Linked DNA regions of Bombyx mori. The protein of the gene in region 1 interacts with the protein of each later gene in a pairwise test. Links are inferred from orthologs where the notes say so. Each region holds a gene or a part of one and is shown in the gene's direction. Other genes may lie near its edges.

Evidence for each region.
Region 2: the proteins of epidermal growth factor receptor substrate 15-like 1 (region 1) and tyrosine-protein kinase Src64B interact in a two-hybrid assay, tested with the Caenorhabditis elegans proteins (2 studies listed by BioGRID, with this or other methods). The link is inferred for Bombyx mori from reciprocal best matches to the Caenorhabditis elegans genes ehs-1 and src-1.
Region 3: the proteins of epidermal growth factor receptor substrate 15-like 1 (region 1) and rho GTPase-activating protein Graf interact in a two-hybrid assay, tested with the Caenorhabditis elegans proteins (2 studies listed by BioGRID). The link is inferred for Bombyx mori from reciprocal best matches to the Caenorhabditis elegans genes ehs-1 and T04C9.1.

What each region holds. Positions count from the first base shown.
Region 1 is NC_085125.1:126,215-132,938, reverse strand, and holds the start of epidermal growth factor receptor substrate 15-like 1, read left to right. Parts: upstream 1-2,212; 5' UTR 2,213-2,247; coding exon 2,248-2,274; intron 2,275-2,476; coding exon 2,477-2,524; intron 2,525-2,701; coding exon 2,702-2,746; intron 2,747-6,560; coding exon 6,561-6,695; intron 6,696-6,724. Other genes in the region: glutathione S-transferase 2, read left to right, coding at 293-478.
Region 2 is NC_085117.1:16,859,430-16,865,504, reverse strand, and holds part of tyrosine-protein kinase Src64B, read left to right. Parts: coding exon 1-204; intron 205-687; coding exon 688-941; intron 942-3,139; coding exon 3,140-3,327; intron 3,328-4,079; coding exon 4,080-4,814; 3' UTR 4,815-6,075. UniProt on the Caenorhabditis elegans protein: Non-receptor tyrosine-protein kinase which plays a role in endoderm development by controlling spindle orientation in EMS blastomere, probably downstream of receptor mes-1.
Region 3 is NC_085120.1:1,627,649-1,634,195, reverse strand, and holds the start of rho GTPase-activating protein Graf, read left to right. Parts: upstream 1-2,534; 5' UTR 2,535-2,808; coding exon 2,809-2,974; intron 2,975-6,547. Other genes in the region: zinc finger protein 330 homolog, read left to right, coding at 808-962.

The sequences.
Region 1 (6,724 bases):
ATTTCACGACCGGCACTTTTTACAACTTTAGACATCGTAAATAATAGTTTAAATACGACAATTGAATAAAAAACGCAATAGTAACGAACACAACAACACTTGACAGCACCTGATAACGACAAATATGGCCGATCTGTCATATTAGTTCCATTTATCCCCGTGGGACTTCTTCCAGTTTAGATTCATTCAACGTTCTTTTCAGCTTCCTAACTATTATATATTTTGATTTCAATGCAAGACAACGTCATCTTCACAGGAAACATCAATTAATTTGCTTGATTTTATTCTCTAGATGAGGATTTGCGACTTTTGCTGTGCTTCCACCATTAGTTCCATGGAGACGGTCGTTAATGGAATCAAGAAATTTGTTTACTTGAAGAGGTGGATGGATGAATTGGAAAAACTACCTTGTTTTGAAATCAACAGACGTGGCTTAGAGCGATTGAAATATTTTATGAGTCTTTACAAGCCAAACTAAATGAACCATTTTATTATTCAAATGAGTAGATGATTAAATTATTGGTTTGAAAAAGCTACAAAGTTTTTTGATCCGCAGTATCGATGCTTCCTAGTTCTATAGCACCGTATACTGTCGGCCCGAGGGAGAATACCTAAACGACTTAAAGGTTATAGTTTGGACAATTGAAGGGTCGTTTGTTACACGCAAGACTCTAGGCAACCAATGGCGTATTACCTTAGCGTCAAATGGGATGTGGCCTTTTTTTTTCGGGCATCGGCCGAACCTCAGGTGCAGACCGTCAAATCCCACATACCTTGCATGAGGTATGTGAGACTTGACAATCTGCAGATGTTTCGAGCAGACCACGGGTCCAAGGATGCTTAAGGGCCCTATCCACCAAACGACCCCCTTGCACTCTTTCAACCGACGTCCGATCTTCACCTGGGGTCAGAACCCAGTCAGAGTAGGGGGGCTCCCGCGGTCAGCACTACAACCAGACTCGTGGTGCCAACCCTAGGACGCCCGACCGATAGGTCGACGAGGCCATCGTTGACGACTCTACGTCGGCCGTCTCGGTGCGGTAGCCCGACGGGCCACCCCAGGCAGTGGTGCTGGTGTTCCGGAATATCCCGCTGGACTAGAACCAGCCAATAGGAACGCAATATACCACCAACCGGTTGCTCTCACACAATAGTTTCGTGGAACTGCTGCCATGCAGCGCGCTAGAGCGCAGGTACGCCGTGCGGTAAATGGGATGTGGTCATGGCGCTGGCCCCAGCTAGGTGAGGCCGTAGGCTAAGGCGTAATCGTAGGTAGCCTGGTTCGGGAGGTCAATGGTTTTATTGGTACTCCAACCATTATTGATGACGAGCGTTGAAGTCTTGGACCATTACCTCCACAAATGGTTACTTTGCTCAAGCAAGTGGTCAGTCCTCTCTTGCAAATGCTCAAACTTTTTGGCATGGATGATCTAGTGTGCTCACTGGTTGACAGGGTTGTGTTTGGACTTAATAAAATAAATTCGTGTTGGTAGAAATGGGAGTATTTGGAATTTAAAAAACACAACGTTGAAATGATTAAATTTTGATAGATTTTCTTTGGTTGTCAACACTGAAATTTGTTTAACCTTTGCACAGTAACATTCAAAATGACGACTTTGACGCCAACTGCTGCACCCGGAATTCGGTGAATCAACAGTCCGAAAAAACCGAGATCCAGATCCAAAAAACTGACTTTCTCTACATCTAACATGAAGTTTGTGTGCGAGAGAGAAGGTCCATTCATTAGGTACAGTTTTAAATGTGTTAGAAAGAATAAAACATAATAGTAGAATATCTGTTATGAGTCCAAACTCTCCGGACTATTCACACCCGGAATTCGGCGACCTCATTGTAATCAATGAAACGAGATGAAAATAAATTAAATAATATCAGTGAAGTAATGGGAGATTCGTTAAGCATTTTGGAAGAATCCGAAAAGCTGGATGAAGATTTTGTTTCAATTTTCCAACATGTTTCATTTTAAACGACATATAGAATGCAATTAATAGTTAAAATTAGACGATAATGCCTGAAGAAAAACAGAAAAATAAATCATTTCACGCAACTTGACATTTCATATTCCTGCCAGAAAGTAAATAATATTTATCAGTCATTATGGTCATAGACCTATGTCAGTACCTTCCATGACAGTGCCAAGTACAATTTCCTTTCTTTAATCTTTACTCCTTCACTTAGCTTAGTCTATGACTGGCTGCATATTGATTGGTCGACGAGGAGATGTAAAAAATGGCTGCCTTGCCGTCTCCTACCCAGGTAGAAATTAATAAGATTTACTGAGTTGTTTTTGATTAAATTGCTTAAAGGAAGTTAATTAATCAATTTAAAGAGTCCAGTTTTAGTAAAGTTTAGTGTGTGGTTACCAAAAATAACCGGTTTTAGTAATTTAGTGTGAAGATCGTGTTAGAAACAAATTTATTTGCTTGAATTTAATGTATTGACGTATTTATCCCAACAGTGTTCATTTAATGCCCATTTCGTAGTCAAAGACTGTGCCTCAGTTATGGTGAATAATCTCTTTAATAATTTATTAACCTCTTAATTAGTTGGTTGAATAGTAAATGTTAACAATTAAAACATATCTCGATTAAAAGTAACGCCACCTCAAAAGTGATATAAACAAGTCGAAAACAAATATTATGGTGATCTAAACGGTGTCAATATGTGGACTCAATCGTTACAGGTGGCAGGGACCCACAGCACGATATATGAAGCCTACTATCATCAGGTAAGTGGAGAGTTCATACATACTTACATGTCTTGTTGGTCATTTTGGTATATTAAATAAATTTGTCATCAACCCTGCTCTTGCCTAAGTGATCTACGAGTACATTTGTATACAAATGCATAGTTTAACTCATAGATAATTCGACTATAGCTGATAAATTTTAAAGACGGAATTTTGTATTTATTAACCAATCTAAAAAACCCATCAGATTACATATTGTATTCTCTAATCACTGATGAGATATTAGGAAACTTTAAGTATTTTATTTTCATAAACAGTTCTGAATAAATATTTTAACCATAAATTTAAAGCCGGTCGTCAACTAACTTCCTCCAGGTACTCAGTTGCCTCTGGTTGTTAAATCATTTTTCAAAGAGATGTCAATGACTAGAACAGTGATATTGCAAAGAAATTAATTAAAATATAAATAGATTAACATGTTTGCTGAGTTGGTTTTGCTCATTTTATAACTGTTGGTAGAGTTTATTTTGAAATTTAAATCTTCCTCAAAGAACCCTTCAGTACACTGAAATAGCACATGAGTGGCTATTCCAAGCTTATGATCACTAAGATAAATGTCATATTGTGTAAAATATAGGCATATGTGTATATTTATGTAGGCTCATTTTATGTCACAGTGTGTGTATGTAATTTGAATAGGCTATATCTCACTAAATTATAATTATGCCGTTGGACACTTTTGTCCTCCTTCAAATCTTGCTGAGCTTTACCTACATGAAGCTGTTGTGGCCTAAAGTATAAGACACCCAGTGAATTCATATTGAGTCATGTGACTGACCCAGTATTGAAGTCCTGCAGGCAGGCATCAATTTTTGTGAGGAAACAAGTACTTAAAAATGAGTTCACTTTACAAATGACTTTTGTGGTAAAAGAATAACATTGTCTTAGAAATCAAACTTGCAGAATTACTGGTGGTAAACATTGTAAGATAGATCAGTTCTGTTTAAATTAATGAATAGATTACTTACTCTACCAATTCAATAAAAATGCACAAAGTAAATACCATCTCAGACGTAAGATCAAATATGATAATGAAATTTGTATCTTTGATATATATGGTATATTTTAAGATTAGTTGTGATTGCCAAGAGGTGATAAAAAATGTGAAATCAGATAAATTTCAGTGTTGTGTTTTTGGTCATTGCAGCAACAAATATTTTGTACCCAAATGTGAAATAAGTTATATCTCAACCCTTCTTTACTTTAATGAATGAAATATGGTAATAATTCTCTCCAAATTGTTTCATCATTGGCCGTTTGTTGGTTTGCATTAGATCTATTTTGAGCAAACTTTAAGTCAAAATTTGTAACTAAGAATTCTGATAAATATATTCCTGTAGCCCTAACCAGCTACTTCCAGTTGACTCCATACAGAATATAGCCGTTCGGATTTTGTACTGTATGTTCCACGGAGTGCTCTGAGGAATTGTTTGAGATGATCCCATAATTTCATTTTTACCATCGCATCGCCCGCCACCGATATAGAGTTCATCCATACTAGAGCCAATGTGTTCATCCACACAATTTTTTGCCATGTACCACTAGGGTTTGGAATGAGCTTCCTTCCATGGTGTTTCCCAAGCACTATATGCCCTTCTTCAAATGAGGCTTGTGGATAGTATTAAAACGTAGGCAGCGGCTTGGCTCTGCCCCTGGATTGCTGACGTCTAGGAACGACAGTAACTACTCATCATCAGATGGGCCGTATCCTACATAAGTAATAAAAAAAAGTTATGATTTACAAAATTTTTATACTAGTGCTAGATATAAGCATAGGCCAGTACTGTTGGATTCTTGATTGTAAGTTAAATAACTTAGAGGCTGTGTGCACATTACAACAAGAACAGATCAGGAAATGTGTTGCTCTAAACTGGCTCTGATCTAACATGTTGGTTTCTTCAATTACAGATGCAATACTTCCTTATTGTTCCTTATGTGCTCTATTCAGTGTATTTTCTTGCTTTTTAAATCAGTACTTACTAATATTGGAAATGCAAACATGAATACATAGGCGGCACTGAAAATTTCGGGAATTAATGAAGTGACACAACATTACTATTTAAAAATGTATTTATTGCTTTTCGAAGTATTCTCCGCGAAATTTGACACATTTTTCCATACGATGGAACCAATCATTGAAGCAACCATTCCATTCGGAAGTTGGCGTCTCCAAAATGGCCGTTTTGTAGGCGTCCACAGCTTCTTCAGGTGATGAAAATCTCTGTCCACGCAATTTATTCTTTATTTTAGGGAAAGTATAGAAATCATTAGGGCTTAGGTCGGGGCTGTACGGCGGATGGTCTAATAATTCTATGTTTTCTTGCTCTAAAAACTCTTTTGTTCTGTGCGCGGTGTAAGAACTCGCATTGTCGTGATGGAGGATGATGCGGCGGTTGCAGTTCTCTTTACGGAGTTCAGAAACGACCTGTGGCAAACAAATGCTAGCATACCATTCTGCATTAACCGTTCTTTGTCCCTCAAGAGGAATAGTCGTAACATGGCCGGTTTTGGAGACAAACGTGGCCACCATTTTTTTTGCAACACTCCGTGAACGAACAATTTTTGTTGGCTTTAACTCATTTTCGAACACCCAAACTCGTGACTGGTTTTTTGTTTCGGGTTCGTACGCGTATATCCAGGATTCGTCACCTGATACAATGTTGTATACAGCATTTGAGGATCCTGCGTGGAATCTTTCGAGAGTTCTGACGCACCAAGTAATGCGACCCGCTTTTTGCTCTTCACAGAGCGAATGCGGTATCCATCGGGAAAACAACTTTTTTACACCTAATTGTTCATGCAAGATTATTTGTATTTGACTCATGCCAATGTCTAAAGTTGCCTGAATTTCGCGGTATGTCACATGTCGATCTTCCTCAATCAGCTTACGCACAGCATCAACGTTTTCTTGGGTCACTGCAGTTTTTGGACGACCTTGACTGGGATCATCACTGGGCTTGACACGTCCATGTTGAAACTCAGCAAACCTGCGATAAATTGTGGTTTTGGATGGGGCTTCATCACCAAATGCAGAAATCATCCGGTCAACACATTGTTTTTGTGTTAAACCATTTCGAAAGTCATAATAAATCATCGCTCTTGAATTTTCTCGAGTCAATTCCATTTTTTCAACGACTAAACAAGTTTGACAAAACGTCGTGACAAGACCGAGAATCTTTTTTTAAATAAATAAATGGTATTCGATTTTTAAAACCAAGGAGTTTTTAATTAAAAAGATTTTAATATGACAGGAACAGTGGAAATATTCCATTCCCGATACTTTTAGTGCAGCCCTCGTATGTTTGTCTGTTTCACATTTTAAAGCTAAACTTTACAATACGATTATAATTGAAGAAATGATGCCCCTATTTAACACCTGTGATCCTCTTATCGTTAAGATGAAAACCTAAATCAAACAATTTGCCAGATCTCGAGTTTTTTATAGTAAAATAGACTTTAGTTAACACTAATAAAGCACGGAGAGACTAAACCCTCTAACCCTCTAACTAATACTCTATGGTCCTCTGGCACACTCAATTTTAAGTATTTTTCCTTTGGAGTTTTGTTTTACACTTATTTAAAGGTCACATTGTTTTATGGTTAAATCAAGAGGCATTTGGCATATGAATATGAAGGTGGGTAGGCGAAAAATTCATTCTGGATAGGATTTGGGTAAAATCCTTTCTCAAATGCCAAATTCAAAGTTCATGGTAATGGATGGATTCAGAGATCTCGTGATGAAGCGCTACATACATATAGCGGAGCAGTCTGACGGACCTTATTACGATTACAGGTGGACCCAAACGGCACTGGGGTCATTCAAGCGCTAGACGCTGCTCGGTTCCTCAAGAAGTCTCGGCTTAGCGACGTTGTCCTCAGCAAGATATGGGACCTATCAGATCCAGCCGGCAAGGGTTGTCTTGATAAGGTAATACATATTTCTTGTTATTTGTAGGT
Region 2 (6,075 bases), on another chromosome or scaffold:
AAACGGCGGTCGTCGAGTCGTAAAAGCCCTATGCGAGTATACGGCTCGAGCGGACTCCGACATCTCGTTTCACAAGGGCGACCGCATGGAAGTCCTCAACAGCTCGGAGCCGGATTGGTGGATGGTGTTCCATCTGACCACGAGGAGGGAAGGCCTGGTTCCAGTCAATTACGTCGCCGAAGAGAGTTCAGTGGAATGTGAAGAGTGAGTGTCGAAACCGTTTTAACTTGATTTGGTGTAAAACTTTGTTTCACTCTTCTAGTCTTCAGCTTTTTATCTTCGTATTAAGACCATAAACAATATTCAATATGTTTGTGTTTAAATATAGAGTTCACTTAAAACCTTATTATATCGAGCAAAATTAAATATTTTTAATTTTTTTTTTATCAAGACGGACTCATTTTAAATTTTTGAAACTAAAATAACAAGTAACTGCCGCTAAGCTTTTTAATTTTAAGATTTAAGAAAAAAAACTTTTCTCATTATTTTTCGTTGGCAGGCCCTTGTATTTTGAACATAGTTTATGTTTCATTTTGGTGTATATAATTTATAAAAGGAATGCGCATTTCGATTTTTTCTTAATATAAAATGCTTTACTTCTACTAACTTCTATACTAAGCGGTGGCGGTTCGGACCACCAAGGCCTATCATTAACGGCGCCCCTTCTTAAAGGCAGTCATGTTGCAGCTGGTTCTTTCCTCACGTGTCGAGGAAGGAGGCCGACAAACTCCTCCTAGCCGAGAGCAACCCCCGCGGTACGTTCTTGGTCCGACCGGCGGAGCACAACCCTCACGGCTTCAGCTTAAGCGTCAAAGATTGGGAAGACGGAAGGGGCTACCACGTGAAACATTATAAAATAAAGCCGCTCGACAAAGGCGGTTTTTATATCGCCACAAACCAAACCTTCCCGAGCTTACCCGCTCTCGTCATGTCGTATACGAGTAAGTATGTTTTCTTTGTTACATTAAGAACTAGCTGATCTGACAGACTTCGTAGTGCCTCAATCGATAAATAAAAGATCAAATTTTTTGTATAAAATAAACTTAAACAAAAGGAATTCGTCCGACGGGGGACACGTCAAAGGAAAAACAAAATTGTTATTTTTATTTAATTCCGAGCATTTTCATATTTATCTACCTTTTAAACCTTCTATGGACTTCCACAATTAATTCAAGACGAAAATTAGTCAAATCGGTCCAGCCGTTCTCGATTTTTATCGAGACTAACGAACAGCAATTCATTTATATATATATAGATTAAAAATAATTATCAATTGAAGAGGCGCGGAGGGTTCGCGTTGTTTCCCGTGCGCTATGACATGTCCTTTTTTAAACGAGGCTTGCAGTATTCATCAGTGACCTGACTCTGCTTCTGTATGTTAACCACTACCATTGGGTGGGCCGTATAATCGTCAGACTATAAGAGCAATAAAAAAAACATTTTTATATGAATACGGTGGCGCCCATCATAATGGAATATTTAAACGTCTTCAACGTTCGGAAATGAATAAAAATAACAACTTTGTTTTTCCTTTGATGTGTCCTTCGTCGGACGGATTGTTTTTGTTTGTTTTAAGTTTATTTTATACAAAAATTTAGGTCTTTTATTTATCGATTGAGGCACTACGAAGTTTGCCGGGTCAGCTAGTCATATATACCTAGTCAGGTCATAAATTCTGTCACATGTTTAATGTAAAATAATTGAAACAAGTTTATTTATTATGTAACCATTCATATACCAAAATGAACTTAACAAAATATAGATTCTTATGACACTAAAGCTTATTCAAAATGACCTCCGTGATTTTGAATACAGGCCTTCAATCTGCGCGGCCAGTCGTCTATCGCAGCACGAACGAGGTCCATGTCAATATCGGCGGCTGCCTTAATCAAGGATGTCTTGAGTGACTCCAAATTGGGATGAGGCTTTGAGCACGCCTTTTCCTTCAAGTGTTGCCATATCTTGTAATCTAACGGATTCAAATCTGGACTGGAGGAGGGCCAGTCTTCGTGCCGGATGAAGTAGATTTCACGCGCCGCCAGCCAGTCATGTGTGCTCTTCGCTCTATGAGCTGGCGCCGAATCTTGTTGGAATACCCAGTGCCTGTTATTGAACATGGTATGAGAAACAGGTTCCACAAGGTTCGTCAGGACTGTATTTTGATACACAACTGCATTCGTTTTTACACCTTTCTCACAAAAATGTACCTCTGTTAAGCCCCAATAAGAAACTCCCAACCATACCATGAGCGAGGATGGAAAATGACCTCGTTGGACACGCGGAATACGGTTGCTCGCTTCTTCACTACTGTGTGCGTACACCTTATCATTTTGTTTGTTGTAGCTCTCTTCTACGGTAAAAATTTTTTCATCCGAAAAAAGAATTTCCCGATATTTTTTTCCCGCGTACCGCTTCAACAAAGCGCGGCATCTCTTCAGTCTCAGGTCCATTAGACGAGCATTCAAACGATGTCCTGTTTTTCTTCGATATGCCCGAAGCCCTAAGTATTCATTTAACACCCTTTTCACCGTGGTTCTGTTTAACCCCATCTGAAGGGCCAACAGTTTCTGCTTACGTTTGGGATTCTTTGAATTCGCGCCTTCACAGCTTTTATCACTGCTGGAGTCCTAACAGACCGAGGGCGACCACTTCTTGACCTGTCATCTACACTAGAGTCTTCATTGTATCGTTTGATGGTACGATAAACGAATATTTTGTTTATATTCAAATTTTTCAGTATGTTAAAAATTTGAATTGGCGCGTAACCGCAACGATGCAACGCAATAACTGCAACACGGTCTTCTTTAAGCGTCCACTCCATATTTAAAAATGAGTAAAATTCTAAAAGTATACATTTTTATTTTCATGAACAATTCGAAATTCGAATTCAATAAACTTTTTTGTGACCAGCATTCTAAAAGAAAAGTTTTTACTGTGTGACAATACTTATGACCTGACTAGTTATTTTTATTTGTTTTAACTGATTATGTTTAAATGTATTACATATGTACACACATTGACTTGTTTCTGAAATAAATCATTTTCATTCATTCATTACTGTGATTTTAATAGCCTCGATCGAATTCAATTCATTGACGTAGACCGCGTTATCTAAATAAAAGATGCTAATTGTTTCCAGAAAATGCATTAGGGCTGTGTCACGTCCTGGCCCGGCCTTGTCCGAAGCCCGAGCCGCAGATCTGGGACCTCGGGCCCGAACTGCGGGACAAGTGGGAGATACCCAGGATGGAAATACAACTCATTAGGAAGCTCGGTCAAGGAAACTTCGGCGAAGTCTATTACGGGAAATGGAGGAATAATATTGAGGTAACACGGGTTAATGTTTAATAGATTAATTATAGGAAAAGTTTCAATGCTACGATTAGAAGACTTGGGTCTGAATGTTGTTTAGAACTTGTGTCATATGCGCGAGCATTCTTGAAATCATATATTCGCCTTTTACCAACCGTTACCTTAGGCACCCAGTTTTTCAAAGAGAAGTGTTCGCAAGTGTACTTACTATACGAGAGCGATCCCTTGCTGTTCGCCATTATACTATGTGCCAACTCACACTAAAATGGTGGCAAGGCCTGATTAAATCGACATCTCTTTGATTTGTTCATTTCACTTAACTTGATTCGTGATTCACGAAATTTAGAATTTACTATTCTTGTGGAAAGAGCTCACCGCTGCTCATCTTCCTATTCGTACACTCTTGACAGAGTGGTCGTGGTCTTGCGTCAATCGGATCCTGCGATACCGATGCTCTCGCGATGCGACGCCATGTGGCACGGTGTTTCGCAGAGTGAGAGCAATCGTTTATGTTGGAGTGAGTCACAGATTTTATGTCCTCATGGATGGATTGGAGAGCAATGGAGTCCACATTACGAGTTATGTGCCCGAAGAACTTGAGGATTCGTATATGGACTGTTGACGATAGTCTCTCCTTGATGTTGAGCTCTTTCAGGATAGAAATGTTGGTACGGTAGAATTGCTCATAGAAATCGGCAAAGATATAAAGAAAAAAGTCTACCTAAGTTTCAAACTGCAATATATGTCAAGTTTTTTTTATGTTGCAGGTCGCCGTGAAGACTCTTCGCGAGGGCACAATGTCGACTCAGGCCTTCCTGCAAGAGGCGGCGATCATGAAGAAGTTCCGGCACAACAAGCTGGTCGCCCTGTACGCCGTCTGCTCGCAGCAGGAGCCGGTCTACATCGTCCAGGAGTACATGAGCCGCGGCTCCTTACTGGAGTTCTTGAGGAACGGCGAAGGGAAGTTCCTCCAGTTCGAGGACCTAGTTTACATAGCGGCCCAGGTCGCCTCCGGTATGGAGTATCTCGAATCGAAAATGCTGATTCACAGAGACCTGGCCGCTCGGAACGTGCTCATCGGGGAGAACAATACCGCCAAAATATGCGACTTCGGTCTCGCCAGGGTCATAGAAGACAACGAATACTGCCCCAAGCAAGGCTCTAGGTTCCCAGTCAAATGGACAGCCCCCGAAGCTATAATATACGGGAAGTTCTCCATCAAAAGCGACGTCTGGTCGTACGGCATTCTCTTAATGGAGCTTTTCACATACGGGAAGATTCCGTACCCGGGATTGCACGGCAAGGACGTCATCGACAAAATCGAGATCGGCTACCGGATGCCGAAGCCGATAGACGTGTACCTGCCGGACGCCATATACGGGCTGATGCTGCAGTGCTGGGACGCGGTGCCTGAGAAGCGGCCCACCTTCGAGTTCCTCAATCATTACTTCGAATCGTTTACGGTGACCAGCGAGATGCCGTACAAGGAGGTACACGATTGATGCTGTGATATAGTGACGTATAGGACGTTCGTTCTCTGACATTACGAGGGTAGGTGTGTATCGATTTAAATACGCGTTAGTACGATCAATATCGATACGCGAATCGATTAAGCGAATGCTTCTTACAATGATTTTAATAGCGGTGGTAGGACGTGACGTGACGAGCTATAGTATAACGGTTACTAAAATGCGATTGAGACTGGCCTCACTTCTCAAAGTGGTTGGCGGCGTTCACACTGCAATCTCGGTAAGCCGTCATGTACCCACATCGACGCCTAAAACGATAATTTAGTTCATTGATGTTCGTTGTTGTAATAAATAATGCTGCTGTTTTATAAATCGATTGAATAGTGTTGCGATTCGCACTCGACGCATCATCGACTCGAGAGACGTTTAGTAATTTTTATACTCTGATGCAATATTTATATAACAATACAGGTATGTGTGAGCTTGGCCGGTGGCTTTCACTCCCATTAATGGGTTCGTTGAGAAATTTGATAAGATATTTAGCCTAAGCCGAATCGACTCGCATCGTTTTGTACCAAAACACGTTCGTATAATAATATATTATAATTTCTTTCCCTGAAAAAAAAATATAAAACTGTAAATTGACGTGGAATATAATTACGTTATTTTACAAAAACGGGTCTAAACGAACATTAAACTTCTCAAGCACATCCCTATTAAAAACACCATTTTGAAATTTTTATAAATCTTAAAAACTATCGACATCACCATGAGATTTTTATTAACCCTTAAATTCACTTTTATTTATTTATTGTTAATTATTTTTATGTTGTAAAATATTTGTAGATTTAGATTAGAGAATTGATGTTTGAAAATTCAAAAAAAAAAAGTATATCAAAATCAAAATGAAAATGATTTACGTCACAGTGAATTTAAGGGTGTTGTGCTGGTTTGCAAATTCTAATTACCCCTATAAATATCAGACGAAAAAACATGCATACAATGACTACATTCTACATTATAAGTATTTATATAGTATGTCGGTCACTATGTTATTTATGTAGCTTTAGCACCAGTAAGATATTAATTTGCGTCACTATACAATTCGAATTTCAAGAAACAAAATACGAAATCATATTCTAAAGATATATTTGTGATATTCTTCGCGTAAGTTCCGACCCCCGTACAGATCTCAAGACGACGATCGAAGCTCCAACTTGACTCGACTTAAAACATTTAATTTAGTATACACCCGAAATATATCTTGTGTTTGACATTTATAAACAAAAACACT
Region 3 (6,547 bases), on another chromosome or scaffold:
CCGGCAGACTTCGTAGTGCCTCAATCGATAATAATAAAAGACCTAAACTTTTGTATAAAATAAACTTAAAACAAACAAAAGGAATCCGTCCGACGGGGGACACGTCAAAGGAAAAACAAAATTGTTATTTTTATTTAATTCCGAGCATTTTCATATCTATCTACCTTTTAAACCTTCTCTGGACTTCCACAAATAATTAAAGACCAAAATCAGCCAAATCGGTCCAGCCGTTCTCGAGTTTTAGCGAGACTAACGAACAGCAATTCATTTTTATATACCTATATATACATAGAATAGATAGATACACTAATCACGAGGAGATAATTAGAAGGGTAGATTGTAAGTCACGTGATCAAGTGAAAGTGATGTTGCTGTGAAATACAGCGGAGACTTGGGAACCGTGCCTATGGTCTTCAGTAACTACTAGAAGCATTCGGTACGTGCGGTTTTTTGGGAATGCAACTCATTGGCGTAACCACTTTCCCAGCATGCAATTCAAAATGCATAATTTGCTCGTTGCAGTAATTAAAAAAGGCGGAAGCCGCTTTAGCTGGACCGCAAAACCAGCAATAGAATAGCTGTAGAAATTTATCATATATGATTTTCTATTCCGAATTCTTAAAACTGGTGGTAGGACCTCCTGTGAGTCCGCACGAGTAGGTACCACCACCCCGCCTATTTCTGCCGTGAAGCAGTAATGCGTTTCAGTTTGAAGGGTGGGGCAGCCGTTGTAACCATACTTGAGACAGAACTTATATCTCATCTTATATCTATGGGCTCCAGTAACCACTTAACACACGTTATCAGGCGACTACGGTGCTGCTGAGGGAGGAGATTATTCGTACTGTTCCTCTGAGTCCGACGACGAGGACGATGACGACGATGAAGACGACGACGAAGACTCTGATGATGAGGAGGAGACTGCCGCAGATGAAAAGGGAAAAGGGAAGTCTACTTCCTGAATGGACTTTAATGTACCAAGTGCTTAGACATTGCTTATATAATAATAAATGTTTATCGTATAAATATTGTTGGTTTTTTGTTACATGTTGAGAAACACTTAAGGCGAATTTACATTACGAAATTAGTGGCATGAAATTAATTTCGTGACATTAGTTTTACCAACAGTTTCACGTGTAATTTAATACTTTCGTAATGCATGCGTTAATTTCATTCATGCAAATTAGTTTCGTGCCCTGCGCGATTGTTTGGTGAAATTAGTGTCATGCAACTAATTTCATAGTGTAGACGCGACGTGAAACTAATGTCGCGAAAGGGCCTCCGCAGTGCGGACGTGTGTATTGTTAGTTCGGACGCGCTTCAAGCGTTGAAAATGACAAACTAACGATGGAGTACAACTTTTTAACGAAATTACTTTCGCATATATCGAAACTACTTTCGTGAAACTGAGCTCAACATGCATGACACTAATTTCGTAATGTAAATCCCGCATAAGAAAAGTTTGTGTCAGTTATGAAGTTCTTGTGTGATTGCTTTTAACAATTTTTATTATTCTATAAGTCACAAATGCAAAGACATTTCGAGGTTTTTTTTTTATTGCTTATATGGGTGGACGAGCTCACAGTTCACCTAGTGTTAAGTGGTTACCGGAGCCCATAGACATCTACGACGTAAATGCGCTACCCACCTTGAGATATTAGCTCTGATGTCTCAAGTATAGTTACAACGGCTGCCCCACCCTTCGAACTGAAACGCATTACTGCTTCACGGCACAAATAGGCGGGGCGGTGGTACTTACCAACGCGGACTCACAAGAGATCCTACCACCAATCAAAAATGAGAATGAGATATGAGAATCCTAGTACTTAATACCTACACAACCGGTACAATGTTTATAAATATTGTTTTTAGTTTATTTAAGTTATATTGCTATAGAGTTATTCATAGTTTTTTTTTTGTTTAATGGTGGAAAAAGTACTGTGAGGGAGCGCGTCTTGCCTTAATTAATAACCGAACTTTACTCGTCCCTTCCGTCCGTCAAGTCCATCAATTTAGGTTTTTATATCATTAATTCTCTCAAAGCGAACATGCTTTGATACCTTCTACTTAATAAAAATGTAATATGTGTTTGATTGAACTAAGACCAATATACCAGTCTATCTAATATATATTATTATCTATGACTAAGACATAATAAATGATCTGCGTGAAACGCAACTAGCCACATGACTATGGTGTTACCAATTCTCAATGTTATGTTTTGGTAGTTATTATTTTAAATTAAACTAAAATTAAAAACTAAGCAAATAAAACTAAACTAAAATTATTTTTTGGTAAAATCAATAGTAATGGTTAGTCTGAATCGCTACTGTTAATATTTTTAACATAATTACCAGTAAATAAACTTAAATAAAACGTTCAATTAGTTTTTCCTATTTTCTACCTCGACTTTTCGAATTGCTTATAAAGTTTTGAGTTTTTTCACACTGAAATTATCTTATAATAGCCTAAGACAGTGGTTTTTAGGAGAATCAATTGAATCAATTTAACGACTTAATGTTTTATGGTAGTTTATCAAATCAAGACGCTTATGACCCAAAAAGCTACCTTGTGTTGACAGTTTGACAGCTACGCAGTAATCGTGCAGTATTGTCGGAATTTTACTGCCGTATTTTTTTCAAATTTTCTGTTTATATCATCGTAGATAAGGGTACTAAAGTCAGCGTAATAACGTATCAGTGTTGTTAGCTGTGTGAAGTGGTAAAACGCAATGTCCCGCGCGATAGGCGGTCGGTGAAAGTGCAAGGTGTTGTGACCGCGAGTGATCATAAAACGAGTGGATAGTGGATGACGATGGGCGTGGGTCTGCAGCCTCTAGAGTTCACCGAGTGCCTCGCGGACAGCCCTCAGTTCCGCGAGAATCTCCAACGTCACGAAAAGGAACTAGAACGAACCAGCCAGCAGATCAAGCGGCTCATCAAAGAAGTCAAGGATGTCGTGCAGGCAGCTAAACGTGAGTGCGAACCCTTCACCTGCGACCGCGCACCGCTCGAAAGTGTTAAGGTCAAATTATTCACGCGACACAAAGAATGCTCTACGTGTTGCATAGTTCGGCACTGTACATCCCCGCCCGTTATAGTTTATCATACAACTAATACAGAAGTGTGACGATATTACGTCTGTACATTAAAATCATTATATTTAACTTTTTCTGTTATCCTATGTCAAGCCAAAGATATATATTATTATAATCACAGAACCATGCTATCAATATATCAAGTTAATTCATTTATTCTTGATTTAATACTAGTGAAACTGCAGGTTAAAATATATCTATAACTCTTATAATATATTTCAACTTTGATAATGATATTTGAGATGAGTGAGTGTTGAGCTGACAGCTGATAGAATAGAATGGAAGAGAAAAATTAGCTCTGCCAGTCCCACCTAGTGGGATAAGGTGAAGAATAAGAATGATATTTGGGTTATAATTGTGATGAATTAAATCGACATAATTGAATTTGTAGTCAATAATTGCACATAAGTTAATCAATGTTAGAGCAAGTGTCAGTAAACTGACCATGTTTGGGCAGTTTATTGATACTGTTAATAACCATAACAACCAACATAGTCCATAAGTAATGGTGCCAAGCTAGGATCTGTCTTTATGTTATCACTTCAAGAACAACTAAAAAAAAGAGATTTACGCCAATTGAGTATCTGTGATTTTTTATTTGGACAGTGAAAGGCTATTTGTTTTAAGAAACATTTTGCTTAATACGCGACATTTACCATTGTAATTAAAGGTCCGTCTAATTTGGTATTAGTATCAACAATTGGATGTTATTAATTGAACTTCAATTAAGTTTACCCCATTCAAATGACTGAAGAAGTTTTATGTTATGATTTTTTTTCCAAATTTTAAACTTTAAATGGCTTGCCTGTAAAGTTGCAAAAATTTTGCTTAAACCAAATACCCTTTCCCCTCTCGATATCATATATGTGATGAATTTTTATTAGATGAGTGAACAAGCTCATGACTCACCTGGTTGGTTCAGTGGCTACTAGAACCTAAAGACATCATCAACCTAAATGTGCCACCCAACTTGAGACATGATTTCTAAGTCTGGAATTTTTCTTTACAGTACAGGTTTTTTTTATGGCAGTGAGGTTTGCGGAGGTTAGGTCAACAACCGCCCGCCAACAATCAATCATCCGCTAAAAAAGCAAATGGTTAAGGAAGTAGTTAAAGTTTACTTTACTGGGGTATAAAACTATTAGAACTTTACATAATAATGATAATCAAACAACAAAAATGAATAAGCAGTGTAATTGTAATATAAATAATATATTTAAAGTTACATTTAATTAATGATGGTTAGGATTTATAATGAATTCAAGTAATTATAAAATCAATTATCCTTTAATAAACATTACAAATAAAATAATAAACATTACAATACATAATTACAAATAATAATTATATTACAAACATTTATCCTTAATTGAAGGTCATCTTCCAAAATAAACATTTCATTATTAAAGAAACATTAATCCTACCTCTTTTAATGATCATGTTCCACTTGGTATTGAAGCCCATTGATATCTTAAAATGGATGCTGCTACTCACCCCGGAGGTCAAAGTATCTATTATATTGTACATATATGTATATGTTGACCCACCCTTGAAATCAGAATGGTTGTTTTTCAACCAAATTAATATGATGTTACTTCGTTACAGGGTTTTACAAAGATTTTTAATATCAAAAGGTGAAAGACTATTTATTTGGTTTGAGCGACAATATGCAAATTTACAGGTTAAAACTGAGAGCCATTTAAAGTATGAAATTGGGATAAAATATAAAAAAAAAAATTCTGCCATTTGCATGGTGTAAACTTAATTAAGTTTAAATTAAAAACATGAAATTGTTGATGCTAATACCAAGTAAAACGCACCTTTAATTACAAAGTTACATTTCACTTCTTCAGCAAAATGTTGGTTAAACAAAATAATCTTTCAGGATCTTTACTGGTGGTAGGACATCTTGTGAGTCCGCGCGAGTAGGTACCACCACCCTGCTTATTTCTGCCGTGAAGCAGTAATGCGTTTCGGTTTAAAGTGTGGGGCAGCCGTTGTAACTATACTTGAAACCTTAGAACTTATATCTCAAGTTGGGTGGCGCATTTACGTTGTAGATGTCTATGGGCTCCAGTAACCACTTAACACAAGGTGGGCCGTGAGCTCGTCCAACCATCTAACCAATAAAAATTATATATATAGGTGATCAGGTAGGACATGTTGTAGGTGGACTTGGTTTCGGTCGGCGGTGTATCGCGTTCCGACCCGGCAGGCTGGTTCTGGCCCAGCGGGGTATCCCGGAACACCAGCGGCATCGCCCGGGCGGCCTGGTGGGGCCGCCGTACCGCGGAGACTGACGTCGTTGGTCGTCGACTATCGCCTCGACGACCCGTCGGTCGGGCGTCCTCGGGGTGGCAACGCGTGTCTGCTTGTAGTGTTGACCGCGTGAACCCCCCTACTCTGACCGGGTTTTGACCCCAGACGGAGATCGGACGCCGGGTGTAAGAGTGCAGGGGAGTCGTTTAGTGGGTGGGCCCTAAATTCCTTGGGCCCGCGGTCTGCTCTCAACACCTGCAGATCGTTGAGTCTCACATACCCCGCGCGCCCCCTAGGCGCGGGGACCTCGTAGGAGGTTCGGCCCTCGGCCCGAAAAAAAAAAAAAGGTGGACTTGGTTTATTAGTAACTGGAAGCCATAGACATTATAATGTGAATGCTATCACCCAACATGAGGTCTAAGTTTCAATTGTACAGTAGGTATCACCGACTTTGCAACATTACTAATTATGGAAATTTATTAAGTTTGATTCATTTTAGCATAATTCTTCTGCATGATGGGTGGTCTGGTTGTGCATCTGTTATTGATAATGTCCATGAATGATGATAATTACACAATATCGGGTGGGCCATACACTTGTGTGCTTACTAAGGTGATAAATAAAAAACATATTTCAACAATGAAAGATACACAAATACATTATTTCATATGGCAATAGGTCAATTAAGGCCATCAATTTCTATTTAAAATCACTAAAATTGTCATACAGAATTAGGTATAGTTAATATAAAGTGCCACTAAAAAGGCACACATCGGTTTTCCTACTGTGTAGTTAAATTGCGAATCGCTTGAAGGTAAACGCCTCTATATAAGTAGATGAAATTTGAAAAGTAGGCGTATTCTATGATCATGATCAATCGAAATTTGCAAATAAAAATTAATGGAATTTCATGTATTTCAATATAGTTTAAAAAAAAAATGTAGTATGGATGAACATTATACTTTTGTGTGAATTATTATTAATGAGGTCCCAAAAATGCTGTGGTATGGTCTCATGTTTTATTTGAGCGATATATAGGTATCCATAGGGAGCGGAAGTTATTTTACAAAAAGCTAAATCGTGCTTATAAGTATATCGTACCAATCTTCTCAATAAAAGTTTTTTTTGTTGCTGTTACCTATAGATTTAACAGTTTCATTGATGACTTTTTTTATTGTTGTGTTATTAATA